Linked DNA regions of Rattus norvegicus. The protein of the gene in region 1 interacts with the protein of each later gene in a pairwise test. Links are inferred from orthologs where the notes say so. Each region holds a gene or a part of one and is shown in the gene's direction. Other genes may lie near its edges. The genes, in order: Sar1a, Atxn1 and Slc38a7.

Region 1 (5,049 bases):
TCTTGAGTGTGAGTGTTTTCTCGGGTGTTTCCTTAGCCATTTCCTTCCTCCTTCCTCTCTTCCTTTCTTCTTCTTTCCTTCCCAGTGATACAAAGAAAGCCTTGAGCGCAGGCCTTTGTGCTAAGTAATTACTGTACTCCTCAGCCATACGCCTGCCCTCTTTATCTGTCTTCTGTATCCAGTAAATGAAGGTGTGTTACAAAAGGCAGTCTTCTTTCAATATTTTTTATGTCTGTGTGTTCGCTTGCGTGTGACTGTGTACCATGCATACTGCGATGCCCATGGTGTCGGGGTGGTGCTGCTCACCCTGGCATTGGTGTTTGACAGATGCTTCTTAGCCACCATGTGATGCTAGTATTTACTTATTTTTTGAGACAAGGTCTGTGTAGACCAGACTGGCCTCAGACTCAGAGATATGCTGGTCTCTGCCTCCTCAGTGCTGGGATTGAAGGCAAGTGCCAGCGTATCTGACTTCAATCCACTTAAAGAAGTTTCTGGGGCTGAGGAGGTGGCTTGGTTCTTAGCATCCATATTGGGCAGCTCCCAACCACTTGTAACTCCAGCTCCAGGGATGCCCACGGCCTCCACGAGCACTGCATTCTCCTGTACATTGCCACAGACATCCATATATACATTTAAAGATTTATTTATTATATATAAGTACACTGTAGCTATCTTCAGACATACCAGAAGGGGGCATTGGATCCCATTACAGATGGTTGTGAGCCACCATGTGGTTGCTGGGAATTGAACTCACTCAGGACCTCTAGAAGAGCAGTCAGCGCTCTTAACCGCTGAGCCATCTCTCCAGCCCTAAAAAGTATTATATATGCTTTTTCAGGTATTACGATAAAAGCATTTGGTTATCCTAGTGCCTCTTGCTGATAGAAGTGAAACTCTTTAATTTTATTTTGCAAATGAAGGAACAGTACTTTGTTCAGGACTGCATGGCAAAGTATAATAAAAGCAGAATAGAAGTGGGATATCCTATATCAGTGTGCCCAGCTGTCTATACTATATCTAGACCAGGGAGGCTCTGGTCTAGAAAGGCAGGCTGATGAGAGAGAAAATACAGAAATAAAGCCAGGTACTTAGTGTGTATGTACATACTTGTTCATGTATGCAGAGGCCCGAGGTCAGCTCTGGCACTCATTTATTGGGCTAAGTTGACTGACCTGAGAGCTTCAGGCATCCACCTGTCTCTACTCTCAGCACTGGAAGTTCGGGTGTGGGCCATCGTGCCTGGCTTCCTCTGTGGTGCTGGAGATCAGAGCTCAGGTCTGTGTGGGTTTGTGCTACTGAATATGGAGGTCCTGACAGACCTTTCTGGGTTTTGCCTCCCTTAGGGGAATGTGACTCTGAAGGAGCTGAACGCCCGCCCCATGGAAGTGTTCATGTGCAGTGTGCTCAAGAGGCAAGGCTACGGCGAGGGTTTCCGCTGGCTTTCCCAGTATATTGACTGATGTTTGGACAGTGAAAATAAAGAGTTTTACTTCTGGACTGATCCTATTCACAGCTTCCTCATGGACTTTTCTAATAGAACAAGGAAAGCTCTCCAACCATGTATGGCATTGAGAAGCCACGCATCTGTCTACGCTCATTGCCCAGTGGTGACATGTGCTCTTCTCCACACTGCCTGCGGCTGCTGCCGGGCAGTGTGCCGGGACGGGGCTGGCAGCATTTGCCAGGGAAAGCTGGGTGCCATCATGGGACACCCGAGAAGAAAAACATGTCTCACCACTGGTTGATTTCAAAAGAAAGTGATTCTATTTTTTAAAGAAAGTGTTGTTAATGTAATTGGTATCCCTTCTCTAACTTTTTGAGTTCACAATTTACTTGGTCCAGATTTTCTATTCTTTTTTTTTTTTTAAACTAGTAAATGAAATTTAGATATTTCATAAAATTATGAACAGATAGCGCGATGGAGGCCAGAGCTTCGCTGTGTGACTGCCTGTTGAAGGTGGTGCCTGAGCACAGGCGGGGAGAGGACAGCCTTGGCTTACCCGCCATGGTCTCCACCATCATCTGGAGTGGGTAAAGTGTCATGATCACGTTGTCAACTTCATTTGCAGTTACCGGTTTCAGCAGGCTTTGCTTTTATACTGTTGTGGAATTTCATCTCTCTGTGTAGCACCTTCCTTTTTTCACTGTAGATATAAGAAGTGACTTTTGCCTCATGAGGGAATTAAGGACATCTCTCATGTAGACCCTGTGCTGGGGGTGTGACTCTGATGCTTTTGAACATACGCTAGAGGGACGGTTCTGAACAGGATGCAGGGCAAAATCAGCAGCTTAAGGCTCTAGATTCTGTGAGATGCTACCCATCTGATCTGGAAGCAATGAGGGAACCTAGGAAAAACTCTGAGGGGCTCTTGTGTTTTCTTCAGAAATAACAGAGCAAACCCAGGTGGCCTGGCAGCAGCGAGTGCTAGTGTGGGGGCAGCAGCGGCTGTGAGGACCATGAACAGGACTTTTATATATAGCATTTGCTTGTCTTGCTGCTGTGTGTGAGGTTGAATTTTCCTGATGTTAACTTTGTATTGTACCCGTGGAGTGGATGAGACGGTCTGCAGACAGGAGGGTGTCTTGATTCTGATTTCCTCTAATGCACCGTGTGAGTACGTTCGTAAGTGGAAATTATGCTGCTGCTGTTTTCTGTCAGACTCATGTCCAGCGTGAGGGTAGAGAAGGTAGGAGCACACCGGGGAGTGACTTATCACGTTTTAGTTTTGAGCACTGAGTTCATGGGACAGTGTTCTGTTACACTGCCAGGTCCCCAATGCAGAGGCTCGGTGGGGTGTCTGTCTGCAAACTGCATGTGTTGCCTTCACCGACGGACAGCTGGAATGAGAACTGTCAGTGCGGAGGGGCCTTTGTTAAAGCCTTGAGTGAGCTGGGTAGGTAGGGTGTGCCCTTCATTGCCTTGGCTAAAGACTGTCCACATGTCTGTCCAGGCACATGACAGGTGTGATGGCCTCGGTGTTGGGTTCCTCATTTGTCTTTCTCGTTTGTCCCTAATTGCTCGGAAACAACCTAGAAGACTGGATGGACCCTGTCCAGGGTGGCTCTTTGTGAAAGTGGTTTATTCTAGCCACTGGAGAAAGAGATGGCTGAAAAGTGGCACCAGTCTGCTTCATGCTGCACAGAGCACCATCTTCCATAAACTGGCCAAGAGGTTGCTGCAGTGAGTGCAACTCCACCTGAGGGCCAGGGCCTTGACCAGGGGCTCCAATGAACTGAGACTTCATTCTGTTTATCAGAGTGCACGTGTCCTGTTTCAGCAAACGTAAAACTGTCATTTACAAAAGAAGGTCAGTCTGTATCCTAAGCATTTTAATAAAAAGCTAAAATGAACTTGCCTCTTTTTTTTTTTTTTTTTTTCCACTGATTTGCTCTGAGTGAATACAAAATGCTGGGAAGAAAAACAAAAATTCTCCCTTACATACAGGGAGGAACATTTGCAGAGACTGTGAGTCTTGAATTGCTACCCGGATAAAAGGCAAAGGGAAAACGGCTGGGAACTAATAGCAAATGCAGTACTGTTTGAGCATCTTGGATCATGCCTGAGGTTTTTGGTCATCTTTGCAACAGTGCTAATGACTGCTTGCACATACTAGCTAGCAGAATCATCCAATATCCCGAGTGAGCCATACTTGGCAAAACAGAAGTCTGATTTCACATTTACATTATTGTTGCTTATAGAAAGCACCAGAGGTTGGGGATTCAGCTCAGTGGTAGAGCACTTGCCTAGCAAGTGCAAGGCCCTGGGTTCAGTCCTCAGCTCTGGGGAAAAAAAAAAGCACCAGAAGACAGAACAAAATCCAAAACACAACATGCTGGATGTGCCCTGAGGTCACCTTTACAGGGGAAGGAGACTGGTTCTGTGGGCAAAGAGTGTTTGCTGGGGACAGAGGGACCCGAGAGTCAGAGTCTAGTTCTGAGGGCTTTAACATTAGATGCTGATGGCTGACTTGGGATATCTATACTGTGACCAGCCCTAAACAGATAACTTGATAAGGAACAGGACTGGAGGCTTGAAGGGCATCAAGGGACAATTATTGGATTCTAGAGTCTTAATTGCCAGGAAGTTGGGGAAGGTAGACTTTGTGGTCATCTGTGTCTGCAAACCAGGACTGCCTGCTCTGAGAAGGCCACTTTATTTCTGCCCCCTGCCTCCCTCCCCCACCTCCAGCCACTGTTTTCCCTTTTCAGGTAGGTTTGTGACACAGGAGCACTGGAAGCAATAGGTGTGATGGCTGGGAAAGCAACACCAGTGTTAATTTCATTACGAGAAGTTATGAAACAAAACAAATGGGTTTTTTTTCACAGTATGCTAGAAATCTCACTGTTAATACCTATTTTAGTGATTCAAAGCATACTTTGGGGAGGTTTATGAAGTTTCTCCAAACATACCTGTTATTGCTCACCTGTCGGACATAATTTGGAAAGTGAGGACCTCCTTTATAGTATCTAAGTGTATGTGTGTTTGCCTGCCTGAGTCATGAGTCAGCAGATGCCAGAAGACAGTATTAGGTATCCTGGAGCTGTAATTACAATCAACTGTAAGGTACCATGTGGTACTAGGAACCAAACTAGGGTCCACGGTAAAAGCAGGAACAGCTCATAACTGTTGAGCCCTCCTCTCTAGTCTTGATTTTTTACACTTGTAAATGGTGGAGGAGCACAATTTTGAGATAGGAGTTGTGTATGAAACTCAAGTTTATGAGACTGGGGTATATGCTGAGTATTTGGAGGTGAAGATTTTATTGCCCACAAAACCTGAACTATTCCAATCTAGACTTTTCTAAGTATTTACTCCCGATCTAATATAAATCCTGAGTGGTTAGAAATGTCATGTGAAATACGCATGCTTGGAAGTATACATGGTTAAATAATTTTACCCATGGGTAAAGTAAAACTGTAACCCTTGGACTCTAGGGAGGCTGTAGGCAGAAGGGTTGCCAAAGTTCGATGCCAGTGTGGGCCAAAAAGTGGCACGTTGTCTCAAAAACAATTCTAAAAGCTATGTATTGTGGGAATTTTAGTTAA
Region 2 (6,185 bases), on another chromosome or scaffold:
AAACAAAACAGCTCAGTATTCAAGTAATGAAATTGCTTCATGATTATTATGTCTCTGTTGGACCTTGCAGGAAGCAATAACTGTAGGTAGTGTGTGTGTGTGTGTGTGTGTGTGTGTGTGTGTGTGTGACAGTTTATGGCTTTAATCTTAATGGCTAGGAAAGTAAACAACACATTTCTTATTAATTATTTTTACTGTGTGGATTATGTACATATTTAGCTTTCTTCAGGGAACATTTAAATTAATTGACTAAGTCTAATATGAATTATGTGTTTTAATATGTTTAAGGTTGTTAAAATAACGCAAATTAACCGCTTGCATCAACGTAATAATTACAATATTAGTTATTTCCCTTGAAAATTTTCTAAATCTAAGATGTCTAAAAATAGAGTGGAGGTGGATTGGACAGTTTGCAAATTATGAGCTGGAATAAAAACATCTCAGTTACGCCAAAAACATGGCAACCAATATTTTCTGTTATAAAAATATTTTAGATTAAATTTATTTTTTTTATGAAAGCTGTCTGCAACTGAAGCGAATTAACAGAAGCTTTGTCGATTTCACAGGCCAGCAGAAACAATACCTGTAGCACAAAGCAGACGCCTCTCTTCCACACGCAGCCAACAAGCTTCTGTTCAGTTTCAAAGACAGCTTTACCAAGAGGGAGTGAAAGATAGCAGTCAGTTAAGCTCTGAACTATTAACCTTCACCTGGAGAAAGTGCAGAAGGGAAAACAAAACTAGACAGAGCCTCCACAGGAAACTCACTTTAACCGTCCACTAGAGGCTGTAAGGAGACCAGTAATGTCACTTTAGCATATGAAGTCTAACAATCATGGATCTTTAAGTGAACAACACAGTTACGGGGGAGAGGGGCGGTGGGGGCGGGGAGGGGGAAGAGAACAGTTGTAGTTCTATTTAAACAACCGTGGATGTGTGCACGGTGTTTCAAAACCTGAGAATAGATTTGTATCCTACACACACACACACACACACACACACACACACACACACACACACACACACACACACACGGCATTTCTTTTTTAACTTCTGAAGTGCGGGCTCCACAATACAGTAGTTTAAAAGCTCACACGTTTCTCTCGGTGACTCTGTACGCTGCTTCAGATAGTGACTAACTGTTAGGTCCTACGTAAACTGAGCCAAAAGGTCTCTCAAATCCAGCTACAGTCAATAGTAGTGGCTTCCAGCGAGACCAAGGGATCAAGTTTCCAGACTCTTAGTTTTAAGCACCTGAAAGAGGTCAGATGCTGGCCTGACACCTACTGGTCTTCAAGAATTATCTGCAGCAAAGAGATCGCCACACCGAGCGACCCTCCTGGGGAGGTGCGGGCTCTTCCTTCGGATGCCACACCTGTTGGCAAGGTGCACTCCTCCGGAGAAGATTCCTTCCCACGGAGCTCACACCCGGCTGAGGTGTAGCCGGAGGGGGCGGGTGGGGACTCCGCGTCTGCGTTTAGCCACCGGGCCAAGGTGGGAAGTTCTTTCGCCTTGGATTCCCGAGAACCACCATCCACTGCTCAGTGCACGGGTTACCTCACTTGAGATGAGATGAATGGTCCACAGTTAGCTGTGAGGAGTGAGCAGCAGTTCGGTTACCAGGGCTAGAGCTGAGACGTTCGATGCTCATAGCAGATTTCTAGACCAGCAGAATTTGAAAGGAGGCCCAGGAGGTCGCCAGCTTGTCCAGGCAGGAAAGGTGAGGGTGCCGGTGCAAGCTGGGGAAGCCTGAGAACTTTCCGGAGTTGCAAGCCAAGGCAGAAGGCACCGGCCTAGCATCGGGTGGCTCAGGACTGGCGGGCTGGCTAGTTAACCGCGGGGATACAAAGAGTCCTCTTAGATGCTCACCAGGGGCACCCTGGGTGCTTCGTAATTAGAATCAGCCGACTTCCCCGCCCCCTTGGGTATTTTACCAGGTGGGAGTCAAAGCCTGACACCCGTTGCTCTGAGTCTCCCAGGTTGCCTGAGTTGCACCCTGCACTCACCCTGTCCCCCTCCAACTAGGTTGCAGGGAGCCGGGGAGGCGCGCGAGCACCGATCGGTCACCACTCCAATGACCTCATCGCCCCAACTTCCCCGCCCCTTTCTCAAACCTGGAAGGCACAGTTCCCTCCGGTCGGTGTCCGGGATCTGGAGTCGCAGTTGCGGAGAGACACCCGGCCTCCCCTGGAGCGAGCGCTGCCCCAGCCCGGGTGCATAGAAGGGTTAAGGGCGCGGGCCGGCAGCCGCGCCGTGCGCTCGCCGTGCTCTGTGCGGCTCGCCGGGCCGCCTGCCAGAGGGTGCCTCTCCCCCCCCCCCCCCCCATGAAGTCGGATCCTTGAGCTGCGGCGGCGGCAGCCAACTGCTCCATATTTGGCTTCTATTACACATTTACATACTGGAGCGAGCGAGCGAGCGCGAGAGAGAGCGCGAGGGAGGGAGGGCGGGCGGAGGGAGGAGGGAGGGGAGGGGGGAGGAGGAGGAGGAGGAGAGAGCAGAGTATACCGCAGACATCATTTCTACTACAGTGGAGGAGCCGTACAGGACCTGTTTCACTGCAGGGGGATCCAAAACAAGCCCCGTGGAGCCGCAGCTAGAGCTACAACAGCCGCAGGACACTGTGTCTCTCCCTCTGTTCCCCCTTCCCCACGCAACCCCAGATCCATTTACACTTTACAGTAAGTGGCTATTTTTTTTCCTCCTCTGATTCTTTCTCTCCCCCCTCCCCCTCCCCCCGATTTAGATTAAAATCACCTCCTCCCGCACCCCAATCCGCTCTCTCCGGAGAGGGGGCCAAAGAAACATCCAGCATAAAACCCCCCTCCCCCAGTCTCAATGGGCTGCACGGAAAACAGCTGGAAGAGGAGCGAAGGAAACCGACGCGTCGTGGTGTGTGTGTGTGTGTGTGTGTGTGTGTGTGTGTGTGTGTGTGTGTGTGTGTGTGTGTGTGGTGTGTGTGCAGGCGCGCGCGAGTGTATGTGTGACTGTGTACATACACCAGTGCCCGGCTCCTGCCTCCCGGCTCGGGACCCCCACTGGGAGCAGGAGCGGCTAGCAAGGGGAGCAGCTAGGGGCTGGGTGGGCGGCCGCCAGGAGAGGGGGCGCGCCCGGGCGGGGGGCGCGGGTGGGGAGAACGGCGGCGCCCCGCTCCGGCTGCTGCTGGTCCGGCGGCGGCGAGCGCATAGAGCCCCGTCCTCCTCCTTCCGTGTGGCGTAGGGGGAGGCGGCAGCCGCGGAGGGTCGCGCTGCCCTCTTCACTCCTCAACAGCCCCCCTCCCGAGTGGGGGCGGCGAGCGCTGCGGGGGCTCGAGGGAGGGCTGGGCTTCCCCGCCCGGGGTCGCCTAGCTTGAGAGAGGCAACCCCGAGCTTGGGGTCTCCCCGCCCAGGCCAGCGTCTCGGGGCCAGGAGGGGACCTAGAGGGGACTTGCAGGAGGCTCGGGGGCGCGGAGAGGTGGCGGCTCAGGGGGCAAGGGCACGCGGGCCATCGCAGCGCAGTGGGAGAGGCGACAGGGACCGGCCCTAGCTGCAGCCGCCACCGCCGCCCTGTTGGTGCGGCCGCTTCCTGATCCAAAGCAGCAGCAGCAGCAGCGGCAGCCGCCGCCACCGGAGCTGGAGCCGGGAGCCGGGAGCCGGGAGCCCGCGAGCGCCCCAGCTCGGCCCGGCGTCCCTGCCGGCGCCCGCGGCAGTAGCGGAGGAGCTGCGGGCGCTGCCCTGCGCCGGGACTGCTCTCCTGCGCGGCGGCAGGGAGGGTGAATGAAGACGGGAGGAGGGGAAGGAGGAGGCGGCGGCGGAGGAGGCGCTGCGGGGATTGGGATGTGCCCCGGAGCCCCGCGGCTCGTTCACTCGGGGCCCGAGACGCCGCCACTGCCCGGGCTGCCGCCGCCGCCGCCGCCTCCTACGTGGTTGCAGCCGAGCGCGCAGGCCAGTCCCGCAGGGGGTAGGGAAGGGGCCGGACGGGCGGAGCGAGAGGTGAGGCGGGGTCGGAGAGCAGGGAGTAAGTGCGTGTGAGTGTGTAGGTGCGTGTGTGTGTGTGTGTGTGTGTGTGTGTGTGTGTGTGTGTGTGTGTGTGTGTGTGCGTGCGCGTGTGTTCGCGCGCCGGGCGGGGGGCCAGGACCATCGCGATGGGGAGTGGGGTCCACAGTGGTCCCTTAGCTGACTCTGCAGCCCTTCGACCTCTCTTTAGCCACCTCCTTCAACTCTGTGGCTTGTGAGCTTTCATTTTATTTCAGACCACGTAGAGAGCTGACTGCAAGCGGTGAAACAATTCAGGTTTTCTAGAGAGATTGAGCAAGGACCTTAGTGGTGGGGGGTGGAAGTAGGGTGCTGGTCTAGACTCTACCAGGGGCGCCGGGTGGGGGTGGGGGGCGGGGTGGGAGAATCAGGGTTCTAAGACGAAAGGGTTTAGTTCGATCCCGTGGCTGTCCTGTTTTGTTTTTGCTTTCTTGCTGTATAATCCTACAGATAAGAGGGTAATATAAATACTTGGGAAGGTTGGGAAATTGTTGAAGAGTAGTAAGGGCGGAAAAAAAAAGAGCCAGTCGGAAGCTGGTTATATAATGCGCTATGTGGCTAACAAGAAAGGCAAGCTATTTTTATTTTGTTTACCGTATGTTGTGCAGTAGGAACTCCTCCAAACTGGTTCTGTCCCCGAAGAGATTTCTTAGTTTGTCAGAGAGAGAGTCACAGGATACAATTAGTAAAATTAGAAGACCCCACACCACCTACAGAAGAAAAAGTAATGCTTTAGAGCTCTCACCTCACATCCTGCCTGGCATGCAGGGGAATGTGTGTATGTCCTATGTTTCCCTGTAGCAATCTAGTGGTGTCATCTCAGTGACATTTCTGTTTTATAATGCGAGCTCTTCTTAATATTTAAACAGCATTGCTATAGATCGTAGGCAACAAGGTAGTTACAGGCTGGGTATTTTTAGGTACAGCTGGTTACTTTTTGCAAGAGTGTTTGCTAAACCATTTCTGTGTGGCTTTTTGAAGAGCCCTGTCATTCCTAGAAGCCCTCGTTAAGCCTAAACCTCTGGTTTATTGATGGTGGGTGGGTAGCTGAGACAGTTTGATAGCCGAGGGTTTTATTTTTATTTTTATTTTATTTTTGAATGAAGCTTATGCCAGCGGAAGCTAGAGGTAGCCACCAGAGAGAGGAAAAACATGCACAAGCCCTCTTGGAAAGGGATTGCACCATAACAGCTTAACTGTGGCATTTAATCTCCTCTGATTGTCCTCTAACTGGCCACGCATCAGTCAATATTTTAGCAGCTTTGCAAATAAGTGGGCTTGAATGCCACCTTCCACATAAAGCCGAGGCTGAGAAACCTCCTGCCCGCCTGCCTCTCTCATCATAGATACTGTCTGTGGTGTTAGTTTTCTGTACACTTACTCCAGCCCAGATCACTCATGTAATTAGATCAGGCTGCCATGGCAACAGACAGTGTTCCTTGGCCCATTCAGGTGGGTTTGCCTGAACTACTCCAAGTGTTTTATGCACGGTATTTGAACTGCCCGAATCCGAGGGGAGAGACTTCACTGTTTCAATTGCATCTTCTTTCAAGTCATCTGAACGGGAGACACTGAATGAGGCTCCTAGCTACTTAGCTTTTCTAAAGGAAACCAACACGCTGTTCCTACTGGGTACAATATGTAAATGCCTCTCCCCAGACAGAGAAAGGAGCCGGACAATCCTGCTGGTGTTTATTGTGAGCAGATCAACAAGTATTTGATACTTGCTAGAAACCTTTCAGAGCTGACTAAAGCAACATTTCTTTTGCAGTCTAGAGCCTTTGGCCTTGCAGGCACTTAACCCTTTCAAGTGTGAGAGAAGAGCACAACCCCTGCTTTATAGTCAAAATTGCTGACAGTGCTGGCTGGCTTTCTAGATGGTTTACGGAAAGGAGATGGTTTATTTGGAAAGCCTATCCCCACTGTTACGTTTTAAAACTTGACGGTCTCCATTATAAAAAATGGATACTGACAGTAGGCAGGCATTCTGAATATTATCTTCCTTAATTTGGATCTGTTGCTCCTGACCTTTGATGATCTTCAGAAGTAATTGAAAGTTTTTTTTGTTTTTGTTTTTGTTTTTTTTTGTTTTGTTTTTGCAGCTAAGTTAGAGAGGATACAAGCCAGCTTAATGCACAGAACTTTGCACAGTAAACAGTTTGTACAGTACCTTAGG
Region 3 (4,864 bases), on another chromosome or scaffold:
TCCAGGCCAGATCCTTTTCTGAGCTTTTATATGAACCCAGACGGCCTTTTGGATACTCCACACTATTCCTTTTATAAGGGGAATAATGACATCCGTATTCACATGACGAGGCCAAGCCTTTCATAAACTTACCTGCAGCCCGTAGCAACCAAGGGCACTGCTGGTCACAGATGAGGACCCAGGCTCAGGGACCCCACACTGCCCACTCAGCATCTCGTCCCCGTGCACTGCCCAAAGCACCCTGAGCCCCTCCTCATGTGAGCAGGGCTGTGGTGGAAGGCCTGTGGCTGCGATACAAGGGGACGCCCGTGGAGGAGGACGTGGGCCGAGAGCGCCGGCGCCGGGTCCTGCAGACGCTGGTGTGGTTCCTACTCACCCTGCTACTAGCACTCTTTATCCCTGACATTGGCAAGGTCATCTCGGTCATCGGAGGCCTGGCAGCCTGCTTCATCTTCATTTTCCCAGGTACACACCCAGGCGCCCCCATCGCTACCACACAGCAGGAGCTACCTCACCTCAGCCAGGGGCTCAACCGGCTGACAGGATAAGCAGTAGTCTCTGTTGCTCACTGACAAGGCTCAGCTCCGTGCTGCCATCCCAGCTCTGGCTCCTAGAGAGAAGGTGTGATCTCTGATTTACTGAGGCGATGAGAGGCCAGGGCAGTGGTCCTCACCCCAGGAGTTGAACAACCCTTTCACAGGGTTAAATATCCTGCATATCAAATAAGTCACATTGTGACTTACAACAGTAGCAAAGTTACAGTTATGAAGGGACGAGAATGATTCTGTAATTGGCTAATTGGTAATACAAGGAACTGCATTAAAGGGTCACAGCATTAGGAAGGTTGAGAAGCACTAAGCTGAGAGTTCAAACCAGCAGATAAGAAGCTCGATGGCCCATTTGAAGCCCTGTAGGCCCAGGTCCAGGGTCTCTGTTTGAACCCTTCATTCAAATGTGTGCACTCTTGTTTTTTTGTTTGTTTGTTTTTTTTTTCCCGGGAGCTGGGGACCGAACCCAGGGCCTTGCGCTTGCTAGCCAAGTGCTCTACCGCTGAGCTAAATCCCCAACCCCAAATGTGTGCACTCTTGACTCAAGTTCTGACTAGCTTATTCCAGTCCAGAGGGAAGGAAGCCTGGCCGTGGCACCTTAAGGTTGGAGTCATGAGACCTAAGCTGACATAGGATCAGCTGCAGACCCCCTGAAACCCGCCTTGTGTGTGTGCCTATGAGTTCTGCTGGATCCAGTTTGTTTCTGTCCAGGAGCTTCCTCAAAGCCCATCCCACTGGACATGGAGCAAGGGAGCCATACCTGCTCTGAAGTAGGCCAGATGGTGTGAGGCACTACTGGGTCCCTACTCAGTGTTACTTTAGCTCTGAGTCCTGAATATAGCCTTAGGGGTACTTCTTAGCTACTGTGCTGGCCCATCAAGAGAGAGCAGAGGGCAGGCGGCCAGCTGGGCGAGGATTGAGGCAGAGGACAAGGATATCAGACTCATTAGAAACAGGCCTTTCTCCATCACCAACGCTGCCTCTTGGCTGGGAAGGCTGGGCCTCGGGAGGGAATCCCTGAGTCCCCCAAACTCAGGATTGCATCTTTCCTTCTAGGGCTGTGCCTCATCCAAGCCAAACTCTCAGAAATGGAAGAGGTCAAACCGGCCAGGTAAAGCAGGGCCGGCCCAGCGCCTTTCAAGGGGGCGAAGAGGGGCCTTCAAATAGAGAGCCGAACACTTGAACTTTCGGGGATTCTGGGGATTGACACATGCTGCTGTTGTCTCCACACTCAGAGGCTAAGGGGAGGTTGTTAGGGGTTCAGAGTCCCTGGTGCTGTGAAACAGCTTAAAAGTCAAAGTTTTCAACTCGTGCTTTGGGGGCACAGCCGGTCCCAGAGGCAGGGGTGGGAGGAGTGTGGACATGTGTCATAGGTTAGGGACCAGCGGCAGTGGCTCTCGGCCTTCCTTCTCCATCATTTCTTCTCAGTCAGTCCAGGACCTCAGCCCCTGAAGTAGTTCAGGCCCTGTTAGGGTGAGGCTCCCCTCCTCTGTTAAACCCCTCTGGAAACACTCTTATAGGCACATCCTAGGCAACTCCAAATTCAGTCAAACTGACAATGGCAGTAAGCCATTACATTACATAGTGAGAACCAGGCTAGCCAGAGAGCTACATAGTAAGAAACACACACACACACACACACACACACACACACACACACACACACACACACGAGATCCCCTAGAAGGGCACTATGTAGCCTTAACCACCAAGCCATCTCTCCAGCCCCTGCACTGTTTCTCTTTGAGGGAAACACCTCATTCCCTGCTTTTTCCCCCCCGAGTATCTTCCCACTGGGAGACTTGCATTCTACTGCCGTGGTCCCTTTCAGCATTAGCCCCTCTAGGAACCCCTCTAGGCCTCGGTCTCCTTGATGGTGAAGTAGGGTCACATCCCTTTATGTGGGAAATTCCTAGGGAAGCCCGAAGTGCCTTGCCCGCAGACGTGAGGTGACTGACTGTATTGGCTGTTACATATATGAGTCTGAAGAAATGTGAAAAAAAAAAAAAAACCAAACGACTGAAACATTCTCTTGTCCTCTGCCCTACAGCTGGTGGGCACTGGTCAGTTATGGAGTCCTTCTGGTCACCCTGGGAGCCTTCATCTTTGGCCAGACCACAGCCAATGCCGTCTTTGTGGACCTCTTAGCCTGAACACTGCTTCCCCAAACATGTGACCAGATGCAGCTCTCAGAGCTGTGGAGCTGCCCAAGTCCCACGTACTGTTCTGGCTAGTGAGATGACATGGGGACACCTTCCCCATGGACAGTCATAAGACAATCAGCCGCAAATCTGTGGACAGATCCTGCCCAGCTGCCTTGTTTCCTGATGGCGGTCCATAGCACAGGACTGTCCCCTTCACCCAGCTCTCAACTTCAAGCCTTTGGGACTTGGGAATGGAGAGAGTCAGTGGGTCTCAGAAGAGAGAGCCTATTCTGACTTCCCTCTGGAAAAAAAAAGAACAGAAAGCATATATGCACAGGGCTGGCCTCCACACAGAGTGTGTCAGGACTGTGCTCAGTACCTCGGGGCTTAGTGCCTGCCCATGTCTCTCAGAAGCCACTGGCAGCGTCTCCTGGGACCTGGCAACTTCCAAAGGAGATGCCAACATCATAGAAATGTCCCCTGAGTCTCTGGTAGCCTCCCAAGTCTTTAGGGTCCCTACCCTAACTTTGTCCAGTCCTAACGGTCCATGTTGTACTGGTATGCTTCTACTGTGTTCCCAGACATCACCGAGTCTAATGTTTACAAACGGTGCCAGCCTGGCTCTGAGGCTGGGGGCTGCCATGCCGTGGTGCTGTGAGCACTCCTCCGTTAGCTTTTGGCATGGGCAGACGGTCTGTTGTCTTTCAGATTCCAGATAGGCCCGTCTTTTCAGAAGTTCAGGGTAGGACCTTTTAGACCATCCTTCCAGGCTGGGCTTGCCAAGGTCCAGGCAAGGTTCCAGCTCCTCCACGCCTTGTCTTCTCTCTCTTCCCGCTAAACCCAGCCCCAGGACCCAGTTAGACTGGGGACCCTGGATGTCCTCCTTAACTCTCCATCTCCCCCAGTCCCACACTCCCATCCCTCTCCCCCAGCCCTACCTCTTCATGCATGGGTCTTGTTATTTGACGGGAGAGGGTGTGGCACCAGACCCTGTCACACCGGCTTGCCTGGCTCCACACATCTGTCAGGTTTGGCCTCTGTGCCTGGGAGTCCCGCTGAGTCACACCCACCTCAGGTGAGGCCAGCTTAGATACTTCTCTATTTTGACTGCCTTAGCCTCGAACCTACCCCTGCTCACTTTTGTAAGTCCCAGGTCCAGAATTGGTCTTTCTAAATCTATTCTGTGTAAAACACATCCTAGGAGCAAAAGGGACCCTTCCCAGAAGACGACCCCACCCCCATCCCCAACTCAGGTCAGTCCTGTGGAGGCAGGAGGCTCAGTGTCCAGTCCTGCTGGATTATTCCTTTCCCATCCATCCCCAGTACCCATTCTTTCTGGTCCCACTATACTGTTTTCCCCCAGCCTCCAAAGCTGCCTTTCATGGTGGCCAATCATAAAGCTAGACGTGGCACAGAGACTGGCTAGCTGGGACAGTTGGCTAGAACCCAGCTTCTGCTTGACCTCAGGACCCCCTTCCTCCCTCTCCTTTGCCCTCTGTTTCCAGTTTCTTGCTGGTTCTTTTCTACTCAAGCACACTTGGAGAAGTAAGGATGGTTAATAAAGGGGCTTACACTGCTGAACTGTCTCCTTTATCTTGTGTTTGGGACAGAGTCTAGGCCGTAAATGTGTAGGTGACACTTGACTGTCCATAACCAGGAATGGACACCAGCAGACTTTTGCCAAAGCTAGATCTTCAGGAGGCTCTGGACAACCCCTTTCAGGTCCCTCCACTGAATCTTTACACACTGACTGGAGAGAGTCTCTTCCAGGTGTTGCTTCTGTCCTAACTCAAGCTCTCCCTCTGTCCCCTGCACCTTTCCATCCTCAGCCACCCCCTCTGATGCTGATCCATGGCCATCAAAGTCCTCAGCATCCACTGGGTCTATAAGAGGCAGGCCAGACCCTGCTTAGCGGATACAGAGTCAGGCACCTCATTCAACATGCCAAGAAAAGGACAGGCAGACACTAGCTTTGTCCCACGGTAGCCGGGCAGACAGGCCGACAGTCATACAAATCTAGTTATAAGTCCCAAGAAGGGAAAATGGAATCATTGTGTCACTGGAACAAAAGAGCCAAGATCATCAACTTAAAGAGAGAAAGACAGTTTATCTTGGCTCACAGTTTTGGAGGACTTGGTTCGTGACCACTTGACCTTGCTGCTTTGGAAGAGG

The links.
Region 2: the proteins of Sar1a (region 1) and Atxn1 interact in binary tests that used the Homo sapiens proteins (3 or more experiments, as listed by UniProt). The link is inferred for Rattus norvegicus from reciprocal best matches to the Homo sapiens genes SAR1A and ATXN1.
Region 3: the proteins of Sar1a (region 1) and Slc38a7 interact in binary tests that used the Homo sapiens proteins (3 or more experiments, as listed by UniProt). The link is inferred for Rattus norvegicus from reciprocal best matches to the Homo sapiens genes SAR1A and SLC38A7.

The regions. Positions count from the first base shown.
Region 1 is NC_086038.1:30,175,365-30,180,413, forward strand, and holds the end of Sar1a (GTP-binding protein SAR1a), read left to right. Parts: intron 1-1,346; coding exon 1,347-1,463; 3' UTR 1,464-3,354; downstream 3,355-5,049. UniProt on the Homo sapiens protein: Small GTPase that cycles between an active GTP-bound and an inactive GDP-bound state and mainly functions in vesicle-mediated endoplasmic reticulum (ER) to Golgi transport.
Region 2 is NC_086035.1:18,941,285-18,947,469, forward strand, and holds the start of Atxn1 (ataxin-1), read left to right. Parts: upstream 1-2,484; 5' UTR 2,485-2,677; intron 2,678-2,734; exon of another isoform or gene 2,735-2,888; intron 2,889-3,825; exon of another isoform or gene 3,826-3,967; intron 3,968-4,003; exon of another isoform or gene 4,004-4,205; intron 4,206-4,365; exon of another isoform or gene 4,366-6,185. UniProt on the Homo sapiens protein: Chromatin-binding factor that repress Notch signaling in the absence of Notch intracellular domain by acting as a CBF1 corepressor. Binds to the HEY promoter and might assist, along with NCOR2, RBPJ-mediated repression. Binds RNA in vitro.
Region 3 is NC_086037.1:9,227,320-9,232,183, forward strand, and holds the end of Slc38a7 (sodium-coupled neutral amino acid transporter 7), read left to right. Parts: intron 1-265; coding exon 266-465; intron 466-1,604; coding exon 1,605-1,659; intron 1,660-2,598; coding exon 2,599-2,701; 3' UTR 2,702-3,006; downstream 3,007-4,864. UniProt on the Homo sapiens protein: Symporter that selectively cotransports sodium ions and amino acids, such as L-glutamine and L-asparagine from the lysosome into the cytoplasm and may participates in mTORC1 activation. The transport activity requires an acidic lysosomal lumen.